Linked DNA regions of Callithrix jacchus. The protein of the gene in region 2 interacts with the protein of the main gene of each other region in a biochemical or structural test. Links are inferred from orthologs where the notes say so. Each region holds a gene or a part of one and is shown on either strand. Other genes may lie near its edges.

The links.
Region 1: the proteins of EYA2 (region 2) and SIX1 form a complex in vitro, tested with the Homo sapiens proteins (2 studies listed by IntAct, with this or other methods). The link is inferred for Callithrix jacchus from reciprocal best matches to the Homo sapiens genes EYA2 and SIX1.

The regions. Positions count from the first base shown.
Region 1 is NC_133509.1:95,380,723-95,384,837, forward strand, and holds the start of SIX1 (homeobox protein SIX1), read right to left. Parts: upstream 2,801-4,115; 5' UTR 2,512-2,800; coding exon 1,952-2,511; intron 1-1,951. UniProt on the Homo sapiens protein: Transcription factor that is involved in the regulation of cell proliferation, apoptosis and embryonic development. Plays an important role in the development of several organs, including kidney, muscle and inner ear.
Region 2 is NC_133506.1:42,280,536-42,284,035, reverse strand, and holds part of EYA2 (protein phosphatase EYA2), read right to left. Parts: intron 2,996-3,500; coding exon 2,818-2,995; intron 1-2,817. UniProt on the Homo sapiens protein: Functions both as protein phosphatase and as transcriptional coactivator for SIX1, and probably also for SIX2, SIX4 and SIX5.

The DNA.
Region 1 (4,115 bases), on a different chromosome or scaffold from region 2:
AGGGAGGGGAGCTGGAAGGAGGAAAGGGCCATTGTGCAATCTGTCACCAACCCAAATGGAAGAGCTCTACCCTTCCACCCATCCCCAAGGGTAATGGGGGAGGTGAGAAGTCAGAGAAACGGAGAGCTACGGACAGAGCCGCCTGTTGGGAGCCAGGTTATTTTCTCTTCCAGATTTCAGGAAGTGATAGATTAGCAGGATTTACTTGAAACATACAAAATATACCTTTTCAATTTTGTTCCAGCAGTTACATTTAAATACATATCAACTAACACCATGTTTAAATGTAACTAAGTTTGAAAATCTTTCAATAAATGGATGTTGGTGATAAAGAAATGATAGAGGACAGAGTCTAATGCACAAATGTTTGGGGTGAATCAAGCCCATTGCCTTATTCCAGTATGAGACAATTAAACATCCAGTTTTCCTGCCCCAGCCCAGAGTTGGTGGTTTTGCAGACACAGGACAGGTCATGGGAAGTGGTGCCCAGAGCGGCCCAGTGACCGAGTAAACACAAGGAGCGCAGCCAGTCTTTCTGATTTCATCTGGAGTCGGCCCTAGGGCCTGGCTTACAGGACGGCCGTTTTATAACTAAAGGCTAACTGCAACTATATAATCTCTGTTTCTGTGTTACTTGCTAACTCTTCAGCCCCTCGTGGCCCCTTCTCAAACTGTTTACCAACATCCAAAGCAACCCATCCTTTCTGGGCAAGGGAAACTTCGCCGGCCGGCACAAGCTGCCAGCGGGCGAGGTCCCGGCACTCTGTCCCGGTTAAATTCAGGATTTCGCTGCTCTCGCGGCTTTCGCCTTCCGAGTGCTCGCCCTGTATTCCCGACTCCTAGCGCCTGTCTGTCTCCTCCTTTCTTTTCCCTTATCCTCAGTCTCTGTCTCCCGGCGAGCCCATTTCAGCTGAATTTATCCTGGCTCTGTGGTTTTCCACCCAGAGAGGAAAGGAAGCAAGACCTTCGGCCCCCAGGTTTGGAAGCAAACAAAGGAACCTAACCAGCCCCTGCGCTCAGGTTTTCCCCAAACTCTTCGGCTTCGCGGAGCGCTCTCCGCGCTACAGCCACCTCCCCACCGTTCTTCTGAATCTCTGTCGGAAACTCTACAGAAAACGGAAGGAGCCTGGCCAGGTGATGAAGGTGTTGCCCCGAGGTGGGGGAAGTTAAAGACCAATTTTTAAAATATTGCCTTCTGAGCTCCAGTGCGAGAGAAGGCTGCGACAGGAGACCCCTAAGGTCCTCGTCTGGGCAAGCGGCGCGGACAGCCAGACCGACCGGCTGCAGCGCCGGGCCACGAGCGAGCGAACACGGCGAGGATCGACCCTTTCTGAATTTGGGGCTCCGGGAAGTAAATGCAGCGCCAACTCTCCCCAAGACTCTCTTTTTGGTGTATTTTTAAAAGACTCCTTCCTTTGTCCAGCTAGTGAAAAATGAAGCAGGCGACCTGATTCAAAAGACTATCAAGAGAGAGCCGTGTAAAACCGGGCGGGAGTGAGGGCAAGGCCAATGTCTCAGGCCAGCTTCACCCCCCTGGGGAGGAAGAGGAGAGAGGTTCGAGAACATCAGCTCCCACCGAACCTCTTTCCTTGCGACACCACTCAACGCTTCCCTGCCCATTGATTTAGAAACTCACTCTCCACCCATCACTCCCCGCCGCGGCCAGCCAGGGAGGCATGAAAAACAAACCTAGAGCCAGTATTTCCCGACACTCACATCCCAGAGAAACCCACTCGCGGGTGCTCAAAGCAAATGAGGCCCCATCCTTAGCAAGGAACCTCAGAGTTCATGAACTTTCGCAGCAGCGCGGCGGAAGCCTGCGCGCCGCCCGGTGGACGGGCTCCGGCGAGCGGGGAGGACTTGGTGACGGGTGCCTGCGGGGGCGGGAGGGGGTGGAGGGGAAAGGAAGGTTTCCTAGGGTTGCCCGAGTCGCGGGAAGCACGCCGCGTACCTTTCCTTGGCCTCCGCTGCTCGGTCTCTTTGCCTCCGGTTCTTAAACCAGTTGCTGACCTGGGTGGTGGTGAGGCCAGTGGCCTCAGCCAACTCCCGCTTCTCACGCGGCGAGGGGTAGGGATTGTGCGCGTACCACTCCCGCAGCACGCCCCGCGACTTCTCCTTGAAGCAGTAGCTGGTCTCCTCGCCGTCCCAGATGGTGCGCGGCAGTGGGAATTTTCGGCGCACCCGATATTTGCCCACGGCGCCCAGGGGTCGGCCGCGCAGCTTCTCGGCCTCCACGTAATGCGCCTTCAGCCACAGTTGCTGCAGTTTGGGGTGGTTGTGAGGCGAGAACTGGTGGCTCTCCAGGATCTTGTAGAGCTCACGGAAGTTGCCGCGGTGGAAGGCGACCACCGCCTTGGCCTTGAGCACGCTCTCGTTCTTGTGCAGGTGGTCGCAGGCGGGCAGTGACCACAGGAACCTGCCCAGGCGCTCCAGGTTTCCGCCTTGCTGCAGAACCTCGCACACGCATGCCACTTGCTCCTGAGTAAAGCCAAACGACGGTAGCATCGACATGGCTGGGGCCTGCCGGGGCTCACCGCCCAGGCGCACGCGGCTGGGAACAGAGCCGAGAAGCGGGGGGCGGCGGCCGCAGGGGATGGGGGCGCGGCTGTTCCTAACCTCCTCCCTAGATTTTGCAACGGCGAAAATCCGAATCGGAACTTGGAGGTGGACGGCCAAGGAAGAGGAGGCAGAAGGGTAGGGCACGCGCTGAACAAGGAGCCGCCGGCGCACTCAGTAGCCTTTAGGGCCTTGCTGCCTCGGACCTCCCGCCCGGTGGCTGCTGCTAGTTGCCGGGGAACTTGGTTTCTGTTCTCCCGGCAGCTGCCTTAAAGCGCGCAGCGTTCCCGGCACGCTGATTGGCTGCGGGAGGCGCCTATCCGGGGCTGGCCAGCCAGCGCGCCGCCCGGCCGGCAGCGAGGCCGCACCGCCCAGCTCGGGGAGGGCGAGGCTGAGGAGCTAGGAGTTGTGGTGGTGTGTGTGGTGGTGTGTGTGGTGGGGGGGGGGGGGCGAGGGAGTGTTGCTAGGGCTGCGGGGGAAGGGAGTGGTGGGAGGAGAAGGAAGAGGAAAGGTGGGAAGCCAGTTGGGGTCTGAGCTGCGCTGCGAAGGTCGGGGGAGGTAGGGAGTGGGTGAGCGCGTCCGGACCCTGCAAGGCTGGACCCGTTCGTTGCCAGCATTACCTACCCAGAGTCGGGCACAACTCCGCACAAATCAATGACTTCAAACCTTCGTTTCTCCCCTCTCCCTCCGTACTCTTGTCCTCCTCCCTTGTAGACTTGCCCTTTCCCGGTGAGCTCATATTTAATTACTTTAATGTTGGAATGAATAAATAATGGATTGATGAATAGCTATGGAACGCGATAAATAATTCAAGAGCAGACCAGGGTCCCTGCTTGCAGTCTCTGGAAGAGTGGCTTCTTTTTGGGTTGGCTTCGGCTCGAGGAGCCGAACCCAATTTCCCCTTCCCTCCCCCATTGCCCCACACCACCCTCCAAAGGGCACAAGTACTCCCAGTTGGACAGCATTTCCCTCGTTCACAAAGGGCCTCCACGATTTGAGACCAGGAGAAGAGCTGTTTAGAGCACTCTTGCTGAGCACATAGAGTCTCCGAGCATTCATTTGTAATCTATTATCTTAGTGTTCTGCAATGGAAACCAGCAGGTTCCTGAAGCTTTTCTGGACTCAGTTTTCCCATCTGTGTGGTTGTGATTTCCATTGCCACCTTTGCTACTGAGGAATGCCGAGAAGCTTTACTTGCTATTAGCAAAAATGCTTTGGGAACCTCGTACGAAAGGCGCTGGATGTGGTGTAAATTAAATAAAACTGTGCCAGGCTCCAATAACCGTCCGGTTGTAACATAATCCTTGCCCTGCTCTGAGAGGGACACTGCCCTCAAAGCGAGGACGACAGCAGCTCCAAGAAGATTAAATAAAGAGGGTGTGTGTGTGTGTGTGTGTGTGTGTGTGTGTGTGTTGCAATGCTGGCCTATTTTGCTGCCAGGGAGTGAGAGATGTACTGCAATGTAAGTCTCATCATCTGCTGTTTTGTTTATGTGTGGAGAATGCTTAGTAAAACTGCACAAACAAATGAAGTTGTAATTATCTTAAGCCTCATTTGCA
Region 2 (3,500 bases):
CCTGATGGGAATAGAGAACTTTCCCACAAAACCCAAATTCTGGGGAAGCAAGTTTTTCATTTGCCCTTCAGCTCACCATTGAATTATAGACGGATAGTGGCATATACTTGATGATTTCCTGCTTATAGTTCCTCTCTGCCCTAATTTCTCATCAGTGTTGTTTTCCTCTCCATTGTTGAAATGAGATTGGAAGAACCACATTCTGAAAATCAGGGTGGCCAAAGATAATTCAAGATGATGACAGAGAAAAACTTTGTTACACTTCAAACTCTTCAAAGAATGTTGTCAAATAGGTACTATGCATTCATTAAATACTCTGAGATGGGATCAATACCAAAATCAATGCCCAAGCCCTAAACCTTTTAAAAAGTTGACTTTATCTAACATGCTTTGCCATATTGTCTTCATTTGTTGTCAAAGTAAGGATAACTCACTCACTCCCTGTGATGGAAAATTTAAGGGCTAAAATCAATAGCTACACCAAGAACCCCAGGAACAAAACAGGTGGGTCTTCCCTATTGTTCCTTTGCTAACAATCAACCAATTCAAATTTGTTCCTGACTGTCTCCACACCATCTCCACCCCACTAGCTTAGCTTCTGCAAAGCCTTTTTTCTGAAACTCAGTAGGCTTCAGAAAAGAAGACAAAGAAAAAAACTCAGTGGTATCTACTGACATTCTAATGTATTGCTGCCATGTTATTTAATGTTGATAAGCCAAAACCATCTTGTAAAAGAGAAGACGTGCACAGCAGATCTGTGGAATGAATGACTGAATGCATAAGCTGGTGCGTCAGTTGCATAGGGATATTACATACCAAGTTCTGTGACCAGAGAGGGGAACAGACATGGACTCTGCCACGTGACGCTCATAGTGTAGATGGGATCCATATAAAGGTTGTGGATATATATATATATATTTTTGTTTACCCAGTGTTTCTTCTTGTAGTTACAGTGATCTGGGTTTTTTTGAGGTGATCACCTCTTCCTCACTCTCAGTCTCTGCTAGTTGAGGTGAGGCAGACCCCAACTCCGGCTCCAGCCATAGGCATGAGCCCAAAGTCTGTTGCCTCATCCCAGCATTCCATTCCACTGACCACAGAGATTGGTTTGGGGATGAGCATGAGACCTAACCTTTACTTGGGACTTTTGCAGAAATGGCTGAGGAGGAGGAACTCTGTTTGCTGAGGTGGCTTAGCAAACAGGATTAAGCTCTGGGTAGCTGGTGGCCATCTTTGCCACCACAGGGGAGGAACCTGCCTGAGAATGAAATAAACCCAGGAAAATTCAGAGCCAGAAGGAAGAGAGAGAGACTAAGTCCCAACATTGGAACACCTGGACCCAGCCCTAAACCCTTGTACACCTTGATTACATATGCCTAAAAATTCCTCTTTTTTTTTGTTTAAACTAGTTTGAATTGGATTTCTTGTATCTTTTGAAGCAAAAAAGTCCTGGCTAATAAAAAGGGTTTCCTAAAACTGCTGTGCCATCAGAAATGAACATCCTTAAGGACGTCCCCATTAAAAAATGGGCAAAGGATATGAACAGACACTTCTCAAAAAAGACGTACATGTGGCCAACAAGCATGTGAAAAAATAGTATCACTAGTCATTAGGGAAATGCAAATCAAATCCAGAATGATATACCATCGCACACCAATCAGAATGGCTATTACTAATAAGTCAAAAAAATAACAGATGCTGGCAAAGTTATAAAGAAAAGGGAATGCTTATACATTGTTCATGGGAATGTAAATTAGTACAGCCACTGTGGAAAGCGGCCTGAAGATTTCTCAAGGAACTTAAAATAAAACTACCGTTCAACCCAGCAATCCCATTACTGGGTACATATCCAAAGGAAAATAAATTTTTCTACCATAAAGACACATGCATGTGTGTATTTATTTATTTTTTGAGCTGGAGTTTCACTCTTGTCACCCAGGCTGGAGTGCAATGGCGTGATTTCAGCTCACTGCAACCTCCGACTTCTGGGTTCAAATGATTCTCCTGGCTTAGCCTCCCTAGTAGCTGGGTGCTACCCAGGTGCCCACCACCACTCAGGTTAATTTTTATATTTTTAGTAGAGGTACGGTTTTACCATGTTGGCCAGGCTGGTCTCAAACTCCTGACCTCAAGTGATCCATCTGCTTTGGCCACCCAAAGTGCTGGGATTACAGATGTCAGCCACCATGCCCAGGCTTCTATTTTTAGTAAAGGCAGGGTTTTACCATGTGGCCAGACTAGTCTCGAACTGCTGACCTCAGATGATCCCCTGCCCCAGTCTCCCAAAGTGCTGGGATTACAGGCGTGAGCCACTGTGCCCGGCCGGTAATATTTTAAATACTACCATGGCGCATCAACTGCAAGGCCTACACAGACCAGGCAGTAATGAACATGGGGTGAGCTGGCTAGATGTGGAATTGGGTGAGTCCTTTCTGAAACAGCAGACACACTTAGTTTTAATCAAGTGGCATTCCTTGGGAATGTGGCTACTATGGATCTTCTTTCAAGAGAAGCCAGAAATTAGAATTTTTAGGTATTAATAAAATTTTCTGACTTTTAAACATAAATGCAATTAAACAGGCACAAACAGAAAGGCCAACAAGACATGCCTGAGAGATGGATTTAACCCTCAGGTGGCCTGTTTGTTACAACTGCGACCCACTTCTGGGTCCTTCCTTCATAGAAGCTCTCAGACCACACCCATGAATGACCCTCGGATAACCCGTCTGTCACAAATGGGACCTATATCTGGGTCCCTCCTTCACAGAAGCTCTCAGACCACGGCCATGAATGGCCCACCACAGTGACTGCACTTACCGGCAAGTGACTCAGAACTCTGGTTGGGGATGTTGTGAGCTGCCTCCTGGAGGACGTAGGTGGACGTGGAGAGGGGCGAAGGGCAGATGCTGCTGGCCGGGACATAGGGAGGATTGTAGGATGAGCCATAATACTGGGGGTACTGGCTCTGGGGGAAGCCGGGGTAGGAAGGATAGTCCTGGGAAGAGAAAAACAAATCAAGAACATGTGTGAGGAAGCCTTTCTGGGCCTGGGCCATTGGTGAGCCTGGCCACTCTGTCTCTCTCTTTATTAGAATAAAAGCTCTCTGTGGGCAGGAGCTGTCTTCATTTTGGTTTCCCAGAAGCAGACCCTGGGACAAGGATTCAAGTGCAAGGAGGCTGTTTGGAAAGTGAGGGAGACACCAGCAGGGGAGTGGGGAAGTGAGACAGCGGACGCGGGGCAGCAGCCTGCACAGGGGCTTCTATGGTAGTGACTGGAGCTGAGTCCTATGAGGAAAAGCTGAGATGGTCTAAAACTCACATCTCAAAACTGCTTCTCCCAGGGGTCAAGGGAGCAGATGGGTTTATACATCAACTTGTCAGTCTTTAAGAGCTGCTCCCAGGGGGCTTTAATTCCCAGGCACTTCCTGCTTGCCCCATGCACTGGTTCTAGAAAAGCCCTTTGGGGCCCAGCATGCAGATGCTGGCACCTGGAGGTCCACA